2 linked regions of the Oreochromis niloticus genome follow. The protein of the gene in region 1 purifies or fractionates together with the protein of each later gene. This does not show direct contact. Links are inferred from orthologs where the notes say so. Each region holds a gene or a part of one and is shown in the gene's direction. Other genes may lie near its edges.

Evidence for each region.
Region 2: the proteins of taf10 (region 1) and tada3l purify together in Homo sapiens (affinity purification with mass spectrometry; 5 studies listed by BioGRID and IntAct, counting the BioPlex papers as one, with this or other methods). This does not show direct contact. The link is inferred for Oreochromis niloticus from reciprocal best matches to the Homo sapiens genes TAF10 and TADA3.

What each region holds. Positions count from the first base shown.
Region 1 is NC_031984.2:24,229,773-24,236,814, reverse strand, and holds the start of taf10 (transcription initiation factor TFIID subunit 10), read left to right. Parts: upstream 1-4,031; 5' UTR 4,032-4,286; coding exon 4,287-4,419; intron 4,420-5,846; coding exon 5,847-6,004; intron 6,005-6,152; coding exon 6,153-6,217; intron 6,218-6,996; coding exon 6,997-7,042. Other genes in the region: uncharacterized protein zgc:154075, read right to left, coding at 1-18, 123-215, 324-378, 570-700, 1,023-1,079, 1,461-1,568, 2,442-2,501, 2,594-2,667 and 3 more. UniProt on the Homo sapiens protein: The TFIID basal transcription factor complex plays a major role in the initiation of RNA polymerase II (Pol II)-dependent transcription.
Region 2 is NC_031970.2:30,393,596-30,401,402, forward strand, and holds the start of tada3l (transcriptional adapter 3), read left to right. Parts: upstream 1-4,791; 5' UTR 4,792-5,031; intron 5,032-5,041; exon of another isoform or gene 5,042-5,242; intron 5,243-5,342; 5' UTR 5,343-5,376; coding exon 5,377-5,586; intron 5,587-5,704; coding exon 5,705-5,952; intron 5,953-6,105; coding exon 6,106-6,211; intron 6,212-6,317; coding exon 6,318-6,453; intron 6,454-6,543; coding exon 6,544-6,647; intron 6,648-6,768; coding exon 6,769-6,875; intron 6,876-7,262; coding exon 7,263-7,454; intron 7,455-7,560; coding exon 7,561-7,753; 3' UTR 7,754-7,807. Other genes in the region: actin-related protein 2/3 complex subunit 4, read right to left, coding at 2,432-2,437, 2,517-2,687, 3,050-3,145, 3,237-3,348, 3,671-3,789, 4,355-4,357. UniProt on the Homo sapiens protein: Functions as a component of the PCAF complex. The PCAF complex is capable of efficiently acetylating histones in a nucleosomal context. The PCAF complex could be considered as the human version of the yeast SAGA complex.

The sequences.
Region 1 (7,042 bases):
TGGCCAGCCAGTGTGACCCTAGTACACAAACATACAACACACCTAAATTATTTATAAGAAGTGTGTAAAAACAAAAAAAAAAAAGTACATAAATGGTGAAAGTAAAGTGGTAAAATGTTTACCTTCTTCACACTGTCCAAGTAGATTTTGCATGCTGAGTACGGACAGTCTTTTTCTACTGAACAGTTAAGGCAGCGATCTGCAGCCCCTGCTGGCTGACACAAAACTAGCAACGTCACATTTTATATTCAGGCTTAGTACAGAGATTTCTACCCGCCATGGCTACTGATTACCTTCATTTCATGACTGAACAGACAACATACCTTGTTTTCTTTATTGAAGTGGCTGACTGATCCAAATGACGACACTTTCACACACCTGCCAAGAACAAATTGCCAGAGTAAATAGTCAAACTTCACAAAAAACACCCCCATTTACCTCTAGTCCAACAAAATTGGGGTAAACATGTAGTTTTCTAGCTGTTTTAGGCCAAAAGAAAGGAGAAAAGAAATCGTACTATTGAACACTAAGCCTGGAGTTTAATCACTGAACACTGTCTAATGATCTACCTGCGTCCTCCAGCCCAGTGATGTATGAGGTCAATGTCATGGCAAGATTTAGCCAGAAGAGCAAAAGAGCTCTCTGCTTCGTTTCTCCAGTTCCCTCTAACAAACGAATGAGCAAAGTGATAAAACCCAACCTGGAAGAAAGAGATCGATTCTCTTTTTAACCATGCTGCAGAAACTTGAATTGAATAACACTTAAAAAACCCGTAAACCCAAAACATAACAAAAACATACACTGCTGCAAATTTGTCCACAGGCCACAACTATGTGCAAATGCTTTCAAATTATGACTTTCTTAATGAATATGTTAATTATGAAATTATTTCAAACAGACCGTTGTGTTATGTTCTAATATGATATTAACAACAAAAGAAAAATCAACATATCAATGTTAAATTCACTGGGTTAACAATAATAATAGTAATTATTATGTTTCTATCGTATCTGCCTGCTCACCGGTTCCAGGTGCTGAATATGGATCACATCACCTATGACTCCAGCGTCTATGAGCTCCTGTAAAACATAATTTATTCTTATTAATAAAAAACGGCAAAACCCTCATACAGATTATGTACATTTTCTTTACCACTTTCCCAAGTATGAGAAAATTGTAGTTTTGACTTCATCAAGTCGAAACAGCTTCAACACTGTTTATTAAAATGCTGTTTTTGAGGGATTTTTTTTGCACTTTCACAAACACAAAAGAGAGCTCTGTTTGCTTATTTTTCCTCAATCCTGCTGATTCTGTAAATGTGTGGCTGTTTCAAATGAGGAAGCGTTCCTACAGATTTTAGGCAGATGAAGTTTAAGTGTTTGAACCCCCAAGTAGATTCCACTACGTGCTGAAGAAAACTGTCACAGCTGGATAAAGTAAGTGCACAAGACAAAGCTCACTTTTATCTTGTGGATGACTGGATCGTACCGGAGAACATGACCCACGGACAGCATCACGCCGCTCTGAATGCAAGCCTCCACAATCGCCGTGCAGTCTTCTGCAGTTGTCTGAAGTCATGTCGGGACATTAAAGAGAGACGCTGTGCTTCAGTTTGATGTAAAATACGGAGGGTGTGTGATTTTGTTGAAGCTTTTACTCAGAATAGTGAATCGTGAAAGCAACTAAAACAACTGTTGGGTCATTCTAGCTCAAATTAGCAGATTTTAAAGCTTTAAAGTTTGGACACGTAGAACGATTGCTGTAAAATTTTAGCTTCATGTATCAAATGCTTTTCAAGATGTCCTTTCTTTGAATAAATGATCTGTCGACCCACTTTCAGAAGTCTTTTTTTTGTACATTGAACACCTTTTTGAACATGAAAATTTAAAACACTATTCAAGATAAAAGCCTGAAATTTTCACTGGTCTTTCTTGCCATCTGTAATTTTGAACAGATACATAAAAAAAACGTCTAAGTATCAGTCAGTTAAAGGTGTCCTGTAAAGTCCCATATTTGAGCACACACTAATAATAAAGTTCACATTGCCACAAATTATGATCATTGCATCAATTATGATCATTTCTAAAGAATAATTCACAGCAGTGTAAAAGACAACACAGATTACTTTTAACATTACATTTTAGACTGTCCTGTCCAAATACAACAAATTTCCAGAAGGTACTCTAAGAAAATCTCTTAGTTTGATGTTGAAAATCTTGTTAGAACACTGCCTCAGATTTTAGAAAGCTAAAAAAATGGTCTGAAAGAGGTTCAATGGGCCATTTTTCTAAATAATATAAGTTAAAAAGTATTTTTAAAAGGAAGCTAAATTTTCACAGCATTCTGTGTGTCCAAACTTCAGACAATAAAACTTTTGGTGCAAATCAGAGATTACTCATTACTGCAAAATCAGTTCATCAGTAACACCCATAAACACTCACTGCCATTGGTTTCTCCAGAAGAACATGGTATCCCTTCTTTGCAAAGGCCACAGCAGGTTCCTAGGAAGCATAAATACGATCACTGTAATAATTACAGAAAGAACATTTCAAAGTAATTTAAACCAAAAATAGTTGCTGCAGACAGTGTTTACCTTATGGAGGCGATCTGGGGTGCAAATTAACACAGCGTCTGCAAACTTGTCTCTTTCAACTACAGCCTGCCAGTCTGGATAAAAGAGGATTCAGTAAGGACAGGGCAGATAATTATAAATGTTTAATACTTTTTCTCTCTCACCTTCAAATACGTTTTCCTCTTCGATTTTGTGTTGTTTTTGAAGTTTGCTCCTTGCAAATTTCCGTGGATCAGCCACTGCAACAACCTGAGCGGGTCAAAGTAAATAAATCAAGGTACGCCCTGTTAAACATTACAACGAACTACGTGACATCGGTAGGAACAGGTTACATCAATCACTTGAGCAAAGAAGGGTAAGGGGAGTAATTTCACTTTTCATCCATTTCCTTTCGACATTTCCGAAGACATGCTTTTGCCAAATATTTCCCTCAGAAACACAAGCCTCTTCTAACCTTCATTCGTTGAGGATGAATAGACGCATACTGGGAGTAGATTTCACCCCGACATCCTCCTCCCACCACGATCACAAGGACAGGAGCAGTCATTTTGCCAGCCTGTGAACTTTGACACAAATTAAAGCTTGTAGTTACAATGCCACAAAACCCAAGAGAATAAATAATCGTGAGATTACAGGTTGAGCAGTCCTGAGCAGTCCTCCACAGATGCATTATACTTCCCTTAATACGTCGATATGTAAACACGTTAAACTCACAGAGATAGGCACAAAATTGTCAATCATTTAAAAGTGGACTAAACTAACAATTCAAGCCCTGAGTGATTACTGAACAGGGAATAAGAGGAAGCTTGTGAAAGTCGTTAATCGGCGTTTGTGGTGAATTGTACTTGTACGTTTATAAAGCCTGACAGTACCTGTTTTGTCCCATACAACTGTCACAAACGTCCGTCTCCCGCTTTGGTCAGATGAATACAGGACTACAATTTGTCCAGAGCCCAGCAGACAGTCCACTCTAGTGAAAGACTGACTCACTTCTTCGAACCAGAATATCAACCGAGAAAATGTCCGACAATCCCTTAACGCCCCCTGCAGTGTGCACGAGATCGCTCTGCTGCATTCAGTGCACCTCGTAAACTGCCACTTCTCACAAGAGAAGCGGTGAATCTCTGTTTATAAAGCTATGGTGTGTACAATCTAACCGCTAGATCTCAATAGATCGCACTTTGCAAACAAACAACAAAACATCTATGGCTGCTGTTCATCTTTATTGACTTTAGGTTGTCATTTTGCTGTTTATCGCTGCTGTCATTATGTGTTGACGTCTATTTACTCTTGGCAAGGCTGTAAAAACTTCTGAAAAGAGTCCAATGCAGGTCAGTGAGTTAGTGAAATTCAAATCTGAATTAAATTCTTTAAATATAAAGAAAGTGTATTAATGTATTGCCTACAGTCTCCGCTACGGCAGGGGGCGTAGGCGGCGGTGTGCAGTCAACATAGAAGAAGAGAACGCCTCTATGTCACATGACGTGATCTAACAGTAGTGGCTCAGCGTTTTACTGCAAAGGTCTTAGAAACACTTCTGCTACGAGTTATAGTTTTTCAGTTTTGATAATTAATTTCTTTGAATGAAAGGGTAGACTTATACTAAAACAGTATTTTGTAGAATACTTGTCTTACAGCTATAAATCGCGGATTTGTGGTGTTTTGCATATTTCGGTGCTAGTTAACCACGGTTAGCTCGTTAGCTAACGCCAGCATGAATATGGACAACGTAAATCAGTCTGTAACAACAGGAGTGCCTTCTACCACATCGTCAACGGCAAGTAATTGCATTGCCAACGATAATACGACAACCAACGTGAGCAGCATCCCGTCGGTCACGAGTAATGGTAACGTAACGTGACTTTGTTATTGTCTTTGTTATTATTCTGAGAGCATTTGCTGATTTCATCTCGCACTGGAAGTCGAAACTTTCCACGATGTACATTGACTATTGACAACAATACCAAGCCTGACTGAGAGAAACGCGTACTAACCTAAACACCATCAGCGAAACCTACCTTAATGCATCAAAGTGTAATGCATTAAGGTAGGTTTTAGACGGCAATCTAACACTTTAAAGTGTTAGATTGCCGTCTAACACTTTAAAGTGATTTAAACATATTAATTACAAAACCTACCAAGTACCACGTTTCAGGTTAAGCCTGTAGCACTAACTTAACCATTGTAGCAATTTTTTAGATTGTTTGTACAGTACTTTGCAAAAGTCTCAAGCCATCCCTGATTTCTTTATATTTTGCAAGGGAAAATTGGAAATGGGTGCAGTGCATTGAAAAATGTTGGTATATAAGGCAAAAACAGAGTTTGTGCAATTCTAACAAGCTTGAAAATAAAGTGAATATTTGATATGACCACCTTTATTATTTAAAAGGCCTTGAATCCTCTCAGGCAAGCTTTCTTGTAGGTTCTTTAAGTAGTCACAGAAAGTTGATTCTATTTATCTGACTGTTGAGGTATGTTGTGTCACTCATGCAAGTGACCTCTTCAGTTTCAGCTGACTGTGGGGTCCCGCAACTGATTAACTGTTAGGTCAGTTTCCTGATTACTAATATACAAATTGTCATGATCATTGATTAATGGCCATGAGTACTGTTTAGAGAGAGTTGGGGAATTAGTGATGGTGGAAGATGTTCCCTTAGGCCCCATCCTTAAAATGGATTTAATTTTCATGTAAAAATTGGAGACTACTTCTCTAAGTACTCTTTAGCAATAGTTCTCCAGGCTTCTTGAATTACATCTAAAGCTTCTTTGGATGTTGGCTGCCTTTTGCTCTGTTGTCTGTGAAGATGGTCCAAGACTGTTTCAGTAAAGTTGAAGTCTGGTCTTTGGGATCCTGATCCATGACTGATAGTGCTTAATTGTATATTTTTTCTTTCCAGGTTTTTTTTTTTTTTTTTTTTTTTTAAATGCATTAGCAGTGTGTTTGGCATCATTGTCATGCTGAAAAATGAAACTGTTTCCAGATGGTATTTTGTGGTGGATATCAAAATCTAACCCTATTCAAGTGTGTTTATAATTTCATCAACTTTACCAAAATCCTCAACACCACTGGCCAAATAACCAAGCAGCAAAAGCCACAACTTATCCTTTAGGTGCGGATGCACAGCTACACTCTTTTGATGATACCAATGTTCACATTTTGGACTGACAAGACAGATGGCATTAATTATTTTCTTTTTTCCATGCATAGAATTCGTCTGATCTCCCTCGCATCTCAGAAGTTTATCTCAGACATTGCTTGATGTGTCTTTTATAGCTTCATCCTCATCAGCTGTGGTGACACCGTCTGCAGACACATCTGTTTCCAATGGAGTCTATGTTCCTGGTGGCATCACTAATGGAGATGTGAAGCCTGCTGTTTCCACCACGCCACTGGCTGATTTCCTCATGCAGCTGGAAGAGTACACTCCCACGGTAAGTCAGTTAGCCCCGCTACATCATACTTTCACACATTTTTGACAGAAATGTTTCTTAATCAGTCCTTGATTGGTACATGTGCACTAATAATATTAGTGACATATACATTAGTAGTTATTCTTTGTTTTTGTTTTTTTCCCACCAGATTCCTGATGCAGTCACAGGTTACTACCTCAACCGGGCTGGTTTTGAGGCTTCTGATCCAAGGATGTGAGTACATGCAGTGTAGTATTCAGATCTTTTGGCATCTGCAGGGATGCATGGATCTAAGTGATAAAAAAAATGTCATCAGAGGCAAATGTGAGGGTGAGATGCACTCGATTCTGCTCTAATGTCAGTGTAATGTAATGTCTAATGTAATGTCAGTAAAAAACCTCCACCTGTGCATGTGTCCTTTAGGTAGACTGAGAAATTGTATACTAGGAACAGCTTTGTATCTGTCAGTGTGCACACATGGAGGAGTACATTACAGCACAAATCATAAGGCTGCTCATAGTTGGTACGTTCAGAGGTTTGATTGATAGCCACCAATTTACTTAACAGCTGACTTAAAAGCCTTTATATAATATGAGTTCACCAATAAAAACCTTAGTTCAAGGCACTGAATGAGTCAGAAATTAATGTAATCTGGCAATGGGAACATGTTGAAGTCACAAATAAATGACTATATTGTCATAATTTAAAGAATTTCCCAATGGTATACAGCATTTCTTATCTTAATGCTGTATTAGTTAGGTTGCACCGTGCTTTCTGATGTTACAGGGAGTGTTGGCTGATTTAGATTTGCTTAAAACAAACTGGCTTTAACCTTTTAACCAAAATGCAACATCTCTAACCTTGTAAGACTCGTTAATGTCAGCTTTGTGATCACTCTGAACAAGATCATAGAAAATCTGAGGTTTATGTGTGTGGTGTTTTTCAAAATAAGGATACAGGTGGGCTGTAAACATCAAGGGAAAAAGGTATTAATTATTTTCTTCCATGCATAGAATTCGTCTGATCTCCCTCGCATCTCAGAAGTTTATCTCAGACATT
Region 2 (7,807 bases), on another chromosome or scaffold:
AAGCATAATTTTTTGAGGAACTTGCGAGTGTCCGGGCCTCGGTGTTCAGCGGGGCCCTCGGCATCGCTGGTCCAAATTATTTATGAATCAAAGTATTGTCTTGCACAGCGGGGAGTTAAACACTTGGCTCACGCAGCAGATTCCTGTCTGCCTGTTACTGTACTCAGTGTGGTTTCATTGTGTTGATTTTGCGCAGCAGTAGCACTAACACTGAAAGTTACTGTGATGTGTCTTGAAGTATTAATCCTGTGATTTTTTTTTTTTTTTTTTTCCGCTCCATGTTTTTGATATGCAACCGTAACGTGCAATCATCATCGGATGTGAAGCTGTCTTCAGTGATAATGTGCAATTTGTAGGCCGCAAACCTACTCGGACAACAGCTTACTATTTTTAAAGTGGTGATTCAGTGATAGATTAAAGGACTGGGTCAATAATTTTTAATGGTAAACAAGTAGCCATTTCATTTTGTAGGGCTGGCTGGTGTAATAGCTTTCCTTAGCTATGTGGTGTACAGTATCTGCTTGTACAGTGTCAGCTGAAACTGATGTTTTATGTAAATGATGATTCCACACACGGGCCTTCAGTGAAAATACACTCACATGCTTTCGTCACTCGTTTCTTTGAAGAACACATCAGAGCATTAAACATGCAAAACAGGAAAAAAAACCCCACAATATTAGCTTGAAGTTGGTGTTTTGGGTCAAGATTTTAAAAAAATGTACATCCCAACTACACAATAATAAAGATGTTATTTTTTTAAGCCAACCACTCCGATCTGTCTTCTCACTTGAGGTTTTTGTGACTGCATACCTTTTGTGATGGGTTTCTTTATGAGGGTTTAGTGCAGTACTGGTTCGTGTTGTGGTTATTTCTTGATAATGGGATTATTTGTGGGCGGCACAGTGGTTAGCACTGTTGCCTCACAGCAAGGTCCTAAGGTTGACTCCATCATCTGGACGGGGCCTTTCTGTGTGGCCAACATGCTGTGCAGTGTGTGCTTACAAAATTGAAGGAAACTGGGCGAGTAATTACACAAGGACTGGACTGAAAATCAGTGGCAACAGGTCTCGGAGTGAGGGAGCCAAATCAAAAACGTCAAATCATCAATATGTACAGAGGTCTTCAGGAGAGGTCCAACAGTGAGTGCCTACAGCCATCTGTAAAACACGGTGGAGGGTCTGTCATGGTGTAGGGTTGCATTTCATCCAGTGGTTTTAGAGATCTTGTTAAAATTGATGGGATTTTAAACAGATTAATCAGATTTTGATCAACCAGGAAATACCATCTGGAAATGATCTGATTATCAACATTATTCGAGCAGTTTGGGATCATCTTTGAATGTCCTTCAAGAAGCCTGCAGAACTATTTCTAAAGACTCATTAAAGAAATGACAAGAGAGCTTACCTAAAAGACATCAGGCTGTGATTAAGAATAATGGTGATCAAATCAAATGTTGACTTACAAGCTGTTCTGCCTTTAAAAAAAGTATTTCTATGTGCGTTTATACCTTCCAATTAATCGCTGCATTTCCTACTTTCTTAGCAAAATATAAATATGGGGTGATTTAACACTTATGCACAGTCAAACGCATGAACCATGGTATCACAATGGAAACTTGGGAAGTTGCAAAGCTATCTTGCCATCATTGTAAAGTTAATTTGGCTGCATCCTCTTCAAGCCAGGACAGAAACACATTCGGATTAGGTTGTGAATGTGAACAAATACCGTCAGACGCAACGATTCACACCCTGCCTGCACTTCCCCTTCCTGGGGGCTGAAACGGCGCACAGCAGCTACGCATAAGGCAAAATGTGGTTAAAGGGCAGGCTAAGAACAACTTCCTCTGAAACAGAGCAAATCCATTTATAGGAACAGCAACAGCGCAGCAAAAACGTCAGCTTTCAAACACAAACGGGTATAAACAACTGAGTTTTATTATATTTCCGTATCTTCTTGCATGACTGATGGCAGTTTCTTTACAGTGAGCTCTTTCTACGTGTGACTTAACACTTCCACAAACAAGTATGTCCTGAACAGAGAAAATTTGGAGACAAATTTAAAACGACAGCAACAGAACACACAGACAAAAAAATACAAAATTCTGGTGAGTTTTATTTGGAACAGCACAGCCTCAGTGATCCTGTACTCATGGTTATCAACTTGATTAATACTTTAAGGACCCGCCTTTGTTTGGGGATTTGTTCTAAGTGGCTGAAAATGAAACTGTAAATATTTCATTATGTACAGTCATTGATATTCATGAGTACAGGAAGACACTCGGGTGTAAAGGGTAATCAAAGGGTATCAAAGCCAGATTGGTCACGTTCCTCTCCTCTCGGGTCGGCTGCTTACTCCTTTAACTCTCCACTCTTGTGCTGAGTGGCCCTTGGAACATTCCCAGGGTGGCACGGGGCAAACACTAACGCTTCCATCAGAACTGTAAAGACAATAGAATCAAATTAACACGAGGCAATAATAAAAGCGGAGCCGCTGCAGGGAGAGAACAAGTTACTTACATTCTTGAGGAATTCTTCGGCAACGATACGGGCCCTGGCGTTAACTGAAAGTTTCATCTCACTGATCTCCTTGTCGATCTCCTCCATGAAGTGGATGACAAAGTCCACCAACTTGTGTTTGTACATCTGCTCCGTGTGGAAGTTGGTAATCAAGAAGCTAATATCATATCCCTAAAATAAGAGTGGAAAAAAGAAAAGACACCATTTGTGTTACTGCATTAAAGCTAGTGTAATTACTGAGATATTTATTATTGTTTCCTTCTTTTGCTTGCTCCCTTTAGGGGTCAACACAGCGGATCATCTGCTCCAACTTCCCCCCCATCCCTAACATCCTCCCCTGCTGCACCAACCCTCTTCTGGATCTTCTCTATTGAGGTGTTTACTGTCTGTATGATGTATCTAAAACATGCATGCATGAAGAGCTTTATGACTCATTTAAAAAGCTCCCACACTTCCTCGTTTTCTACGTGGTATTCTTCCTCTGATACTGTTAATAAGTACTGATTTCTCTTTCGTCACTCGCTGTCTCTTACCTCTACTGGCTTCCTCCGCAGAATGAAGAAGTTCTCTGCTCTCATCATCATGAAGCGCATAAACTTGTGGCAAAGGATCTTCTCGATCTCATCGGCCTGCAGTCGATCAGTAGTTTTTAAAGAGTGTTAGAATATTCTGGAAAGTCATAACCACAATAAAAGTTAAAACCATGCTAGCTCTACTGACCTGCTTGACAGCAATACTGACTCTGACGGAGTTGATGGATCCCTCGATGAGAACCTTCTCCTTGTCATTACGGCTGATCACCACCGGCTGAAGCAGCAGCTCCTTACTGCTCCTGTAACAACAGCAAAAACAGTCCTTCTAAACACAGTGAAACTCAACGTTATGCTCGAGACCCCGCAACACTGAACGGGAAGGACACCTGCGAACAAGCTGAGGCAAGTCCCTTCAGTCCAACTTTAAAGCCTTGCCCTTGCTTGTAGCCATTTTTCTTCCCTCCTTGATTTTCTTATGCAAGTTTGCACATGACTGAACTCGTCTGCCAGCAGCTGATCATACTACACACATCTTTAGGGCAGGAGAAACATGAGGAAGCACAGGGTGGGAAGCAGCAGGGGACAAACCAGTGAGACTCAACTGAGTGCTGCTAAACATACCTGACCTCCACCTCTGGCTTGTTATGGCGCTCCACCACCTGAGAGGAGAAGTTCTCCAGACATAGGGCTGCCTGCAAGGTGGCCCTCACAGCGTTTAAGTAGGGGCGCAGAGTCGCTGTCTGAGGAGAAAAGTAATAAAAAGGTCAATACCTGGGAGGATTCGGGCACATGCAATGAGATCCTTCCAGTTGAATAAAGGTAAATCGCCCAGCAGGGACTGGTATTTAAGGTTACGCATGACAATAATCCGTGTGCAAGTCTCACTTGACAGCTATCTGTTATCACAGGCAGAATGAACAAGTATCTACTAATGCTACGTAGCTACGTGTAGATCTGTCTGCGATATGAATGCAGAAGAGGATGTGATGCCTTCAGGTGATCGACACTGCAGCTCATCCAAATTATTTACTGTTTATACCAGTTTTTCCACAGTTTAAGGACAAACTGTGGTGGTCACAGAAACGAGCAGAAAAGGAAACGAGAGGAAAAGACAGCTCAGTCAATCTGTTTCTGCAAACCGTATCAAGGATGCCCGTAATCTCATTTTGCTGCAGCCAACCAGAAACCACGTCTACAAGGAACACACAGCTAGCTAGCTAATCTTAAGGTAAATGTGGCAGTAGTTAGTTGGGGTAATTGGCTAAATAATTAAATATAAAGCTGAGTATTGTGCTGGAGACTTACCATTTTTGACCTGTAAAAGACGGAAGTTCCTCAGCCACGCCTGGGACGACTCTTCCGTAAATCCTACATAGTCAAGAAAATCTATGGTGTGTTCGTTTTGATGCAAGTCTTAGTCTAATGAATAGTTTTTACCCACCCAGCGCAAATGTCACGGTTCGCGTTTATTTCTCCGCCCAGGTGGAGTGTATTTTTAATCAAAACGAGCACACCCTAGGGTGTTCCCATTCTGCACTATGAAGAGGGGACAACGGCTGTTGTCTCACGAGTTTTTATTTTTACCTTATATGGTTTTGATAGTTAGATGTCAATTATCAAGATTAACGTACACAAACTATACTGTCTAACTTCCAAATTAAAAGCTTGGCAGCAAATATTTTTTTTAATACGCCTAGACACAAAATGGTTTGGTATCATCCGATGATACCATTGTGATAGACTACTCAACAGGCTCTATGAAGCGCCAAGTCTCCAGACTCTGTATTCTCAGACCTATCACTTTTTAAATTGCTTTTACAACTTAAAATGCCTGGTTAGGTTTTTTAAAAAATTTAACTAACTCATTTTTTCCCCAGAATCGTCATTATATATAAAATGGGACATCATTTTAGGTGAATAATTTTAGCACACACCCCTCTTACCACAATGGTTTCACCCATCATGGACGCCATTCAGTGAAGGTAACTAGCGCTGCTCTAAAACATTATACACATTATAATTTGTGCGCTATATTTGTGTGGCGTGGGTTTAAAACGCCCACATTTAAAGCGTCTGTGCGCATATCATGAATATAAAAGAAACCCTTGTTAGAATTTAAACGTATTCTCCAGCATTTCGGGCCCAACGAGCCTGCGCTCTTTAAAGCAGTCCTGATTGTACGTGCGGCCGTACGTAAGTGTTTCTGAATTTGTGTGTGAGAGCTACAGGCACAGAGCTGGACTCACATTGTATGTCAGTCTGATAATCTAATGAATACTTTGTCCTATGCCAGTAAAATCACTGTCAGGTCTTTGCTGCAATACATCATGAGTGAGCTGAAGGACTGCCCCCCACTGAAATACTACGACTTTAAGCCCGTGGAGCATGTCAAGGTATGCCCCCGCTACACTGCTGTGCTGGGCCGCTCAGAGGATGATGGCATCGGCATCGAAGAGCTGGATACCCTGCAGTTGGAGCTGGAGACACTGCTGTCCTCAGCTACCCGCCGCCTACGAGCATTGGAAGAGCAGAGACAGGTAGGAACAAGCTGGTGACCTCTCTTCTTTCATGTCACTTTTCTTTTAACCATAAGGTTTTCATCTCTAAGCATCTAGATGCAGCCTTGTATATTAAAGGCTATCATAATTTTCTCAGATCCTTACAGACTGGCAAGATAAGAAGGGAGATAAACGCTTTCTGAAGCTGGGGAAAGACCCAGACCCCGCTGCCTCATCTCGCCACAAACCAAAGAAGCAGAAATTGGACGGCAAAGGAGGTCATGGGCCAGGCCAAGGTCCCGGCAGACCCAAAACCAAAAACCTGCAGCCAAAAGTACAAGAGTATGAATTTACAGATGACCCTCAAGACATTCCCCGCAACCCTAAAAATGATGCGCCCAACAGGTCTGCAACAACATACAAATTATATCTGCTTAGTTTTATTTTCTCTTTAATGTTTCTTTTTTTCCTTCTAATTTTTAAGTCCTTCTCAGATGTGTGTTTTAGCAAGAAAAACACTTTATTCTTATATTACCTTGTAATATTTCTGTTTTTAAGATTCTGGGCCTCAGTGGAGCCATACTGTGCAGATATTACAAATGAAGAAATACGATTGTTAGAGGAGCTTCTTAAACCACCAGAGGATGAAGCAGACTACTTCAAGGTATGACATAAAGAGCCATGTACCCAATGTTATGTTACAAATAACTGTATCCAATGCAGTGAATAAGAGTGTTTTGAGGTTTGGGGCTGATCTGTGTTAATGGTAGATTCCAGCATTGGGAAAACACTACTCTCAGCGGTGGGCTCAGGAGGATCTGCTGGAGGAGCAGAGGGAAGGAGCACGAGCCAACGACAAAAAGAAAAGCGTCATGGGAGGGCCGCTTTCTGAACTGGACGCAAAAGGTGAGGGGAAGGCTCACCTGCGCCTACTTATGACTGTGCATGAACTAGTAACTCCACCTTAACACTAACTTTTATCTTCACCTGCTGTAGATGTGGACTCGCTGCTGAAAAAGTCAGAATCCCAACACGAATCTCCAGAAGACGGTTGTCCCTTTGGTCCTCTTACACAGCGTCTGCTGCAGGCTCTTGTAGAGGTCAGACTCATCATTTTGTGACCAGCTTTTGCCATGATAAAGCTTGTAATAATGCATCATTGCGTTTTAAAAAATACAAATAATAATATACATATAAATACATGAGCATGGTTTCTTCCAGGAGAACATTATATCCCCCATGGAGGATTCCCCTATACCGGACATTTCAGGAAAGGATGCTAACGATGGTGCTGGGACTTCACCTCGAAGCCAAGGAAAAGCTTTTAGGTATAATGTCAGCATCAAATACATTTTTGATATATTACATGAGAGGACCTCCTGAAATAGCAGCCATTTTTAAACACAATCTCCTCATCCACACAGACCTCGGTATCCTCAGCATGAAACAAAAGAAAAACTGCATTCAATCTTTTTTAGGATGTTTTGGCAGGTCGGCAACTAATTCTTCAAAGTACCTCAATTTATTGTCTGCTTTCATGCAGCTGTGCATGCACACACAAACGTGGATGTTTATTCCTGTCCATTATATTTAAAGGGAAGAATTGGTTCTAGATTTAAGATGGTAACATTTTAAATGTATGACACTCGTTGGTTCTTTTACTGGTGTTTTCCGCTCTGCATCTGCATATTTCTTACGATCTTTGCCATCTTTAGCGTTCCTCATACGCGTTCCCTGGAGGCTCGAATCAAAGAGGAGCTGGTAGCCCAGGGGTTGCTGGATTCCGAGGAGCGACCTGGCCAGGGAGGAGACTCTGAGGATGAGGTCCTTGCAGAGCTGCAGAAGAGACAAGCAGAACTCAAAGCCCTGAGCGCTCACAACCGAGCCAGAAAGCAGGAGCTGCTACGGTGAGGACAGAGAGCAGCAGTGGTTCTGTTTGCCACCTAAGTGAAACTGTACATCTGTTAGAGATCTTTGATCACATGAAACTCTGGATTTGCTGTTTTTTCCCAGGTTGGCAAAAGAGGAGATGCGCAAACAGGAGTTAAGGCAGAGAGTCAGGGTGTCTGACAATGAGGTGATGGAGGCATTTCGGCGAATCATGGCAGCCAGGCAGAAGAAACGTACCCCAACTAAGAAGGAGAAAGATCAGGCCTGGAAAGCACTGAAGGAGAGGGAAAGCATTCTCAAATTACTGGATGGATAGAGGAAACCACAGTTTCTGTGGTGAAAAAAATATTGGAAGAAACCTCTTCAACCT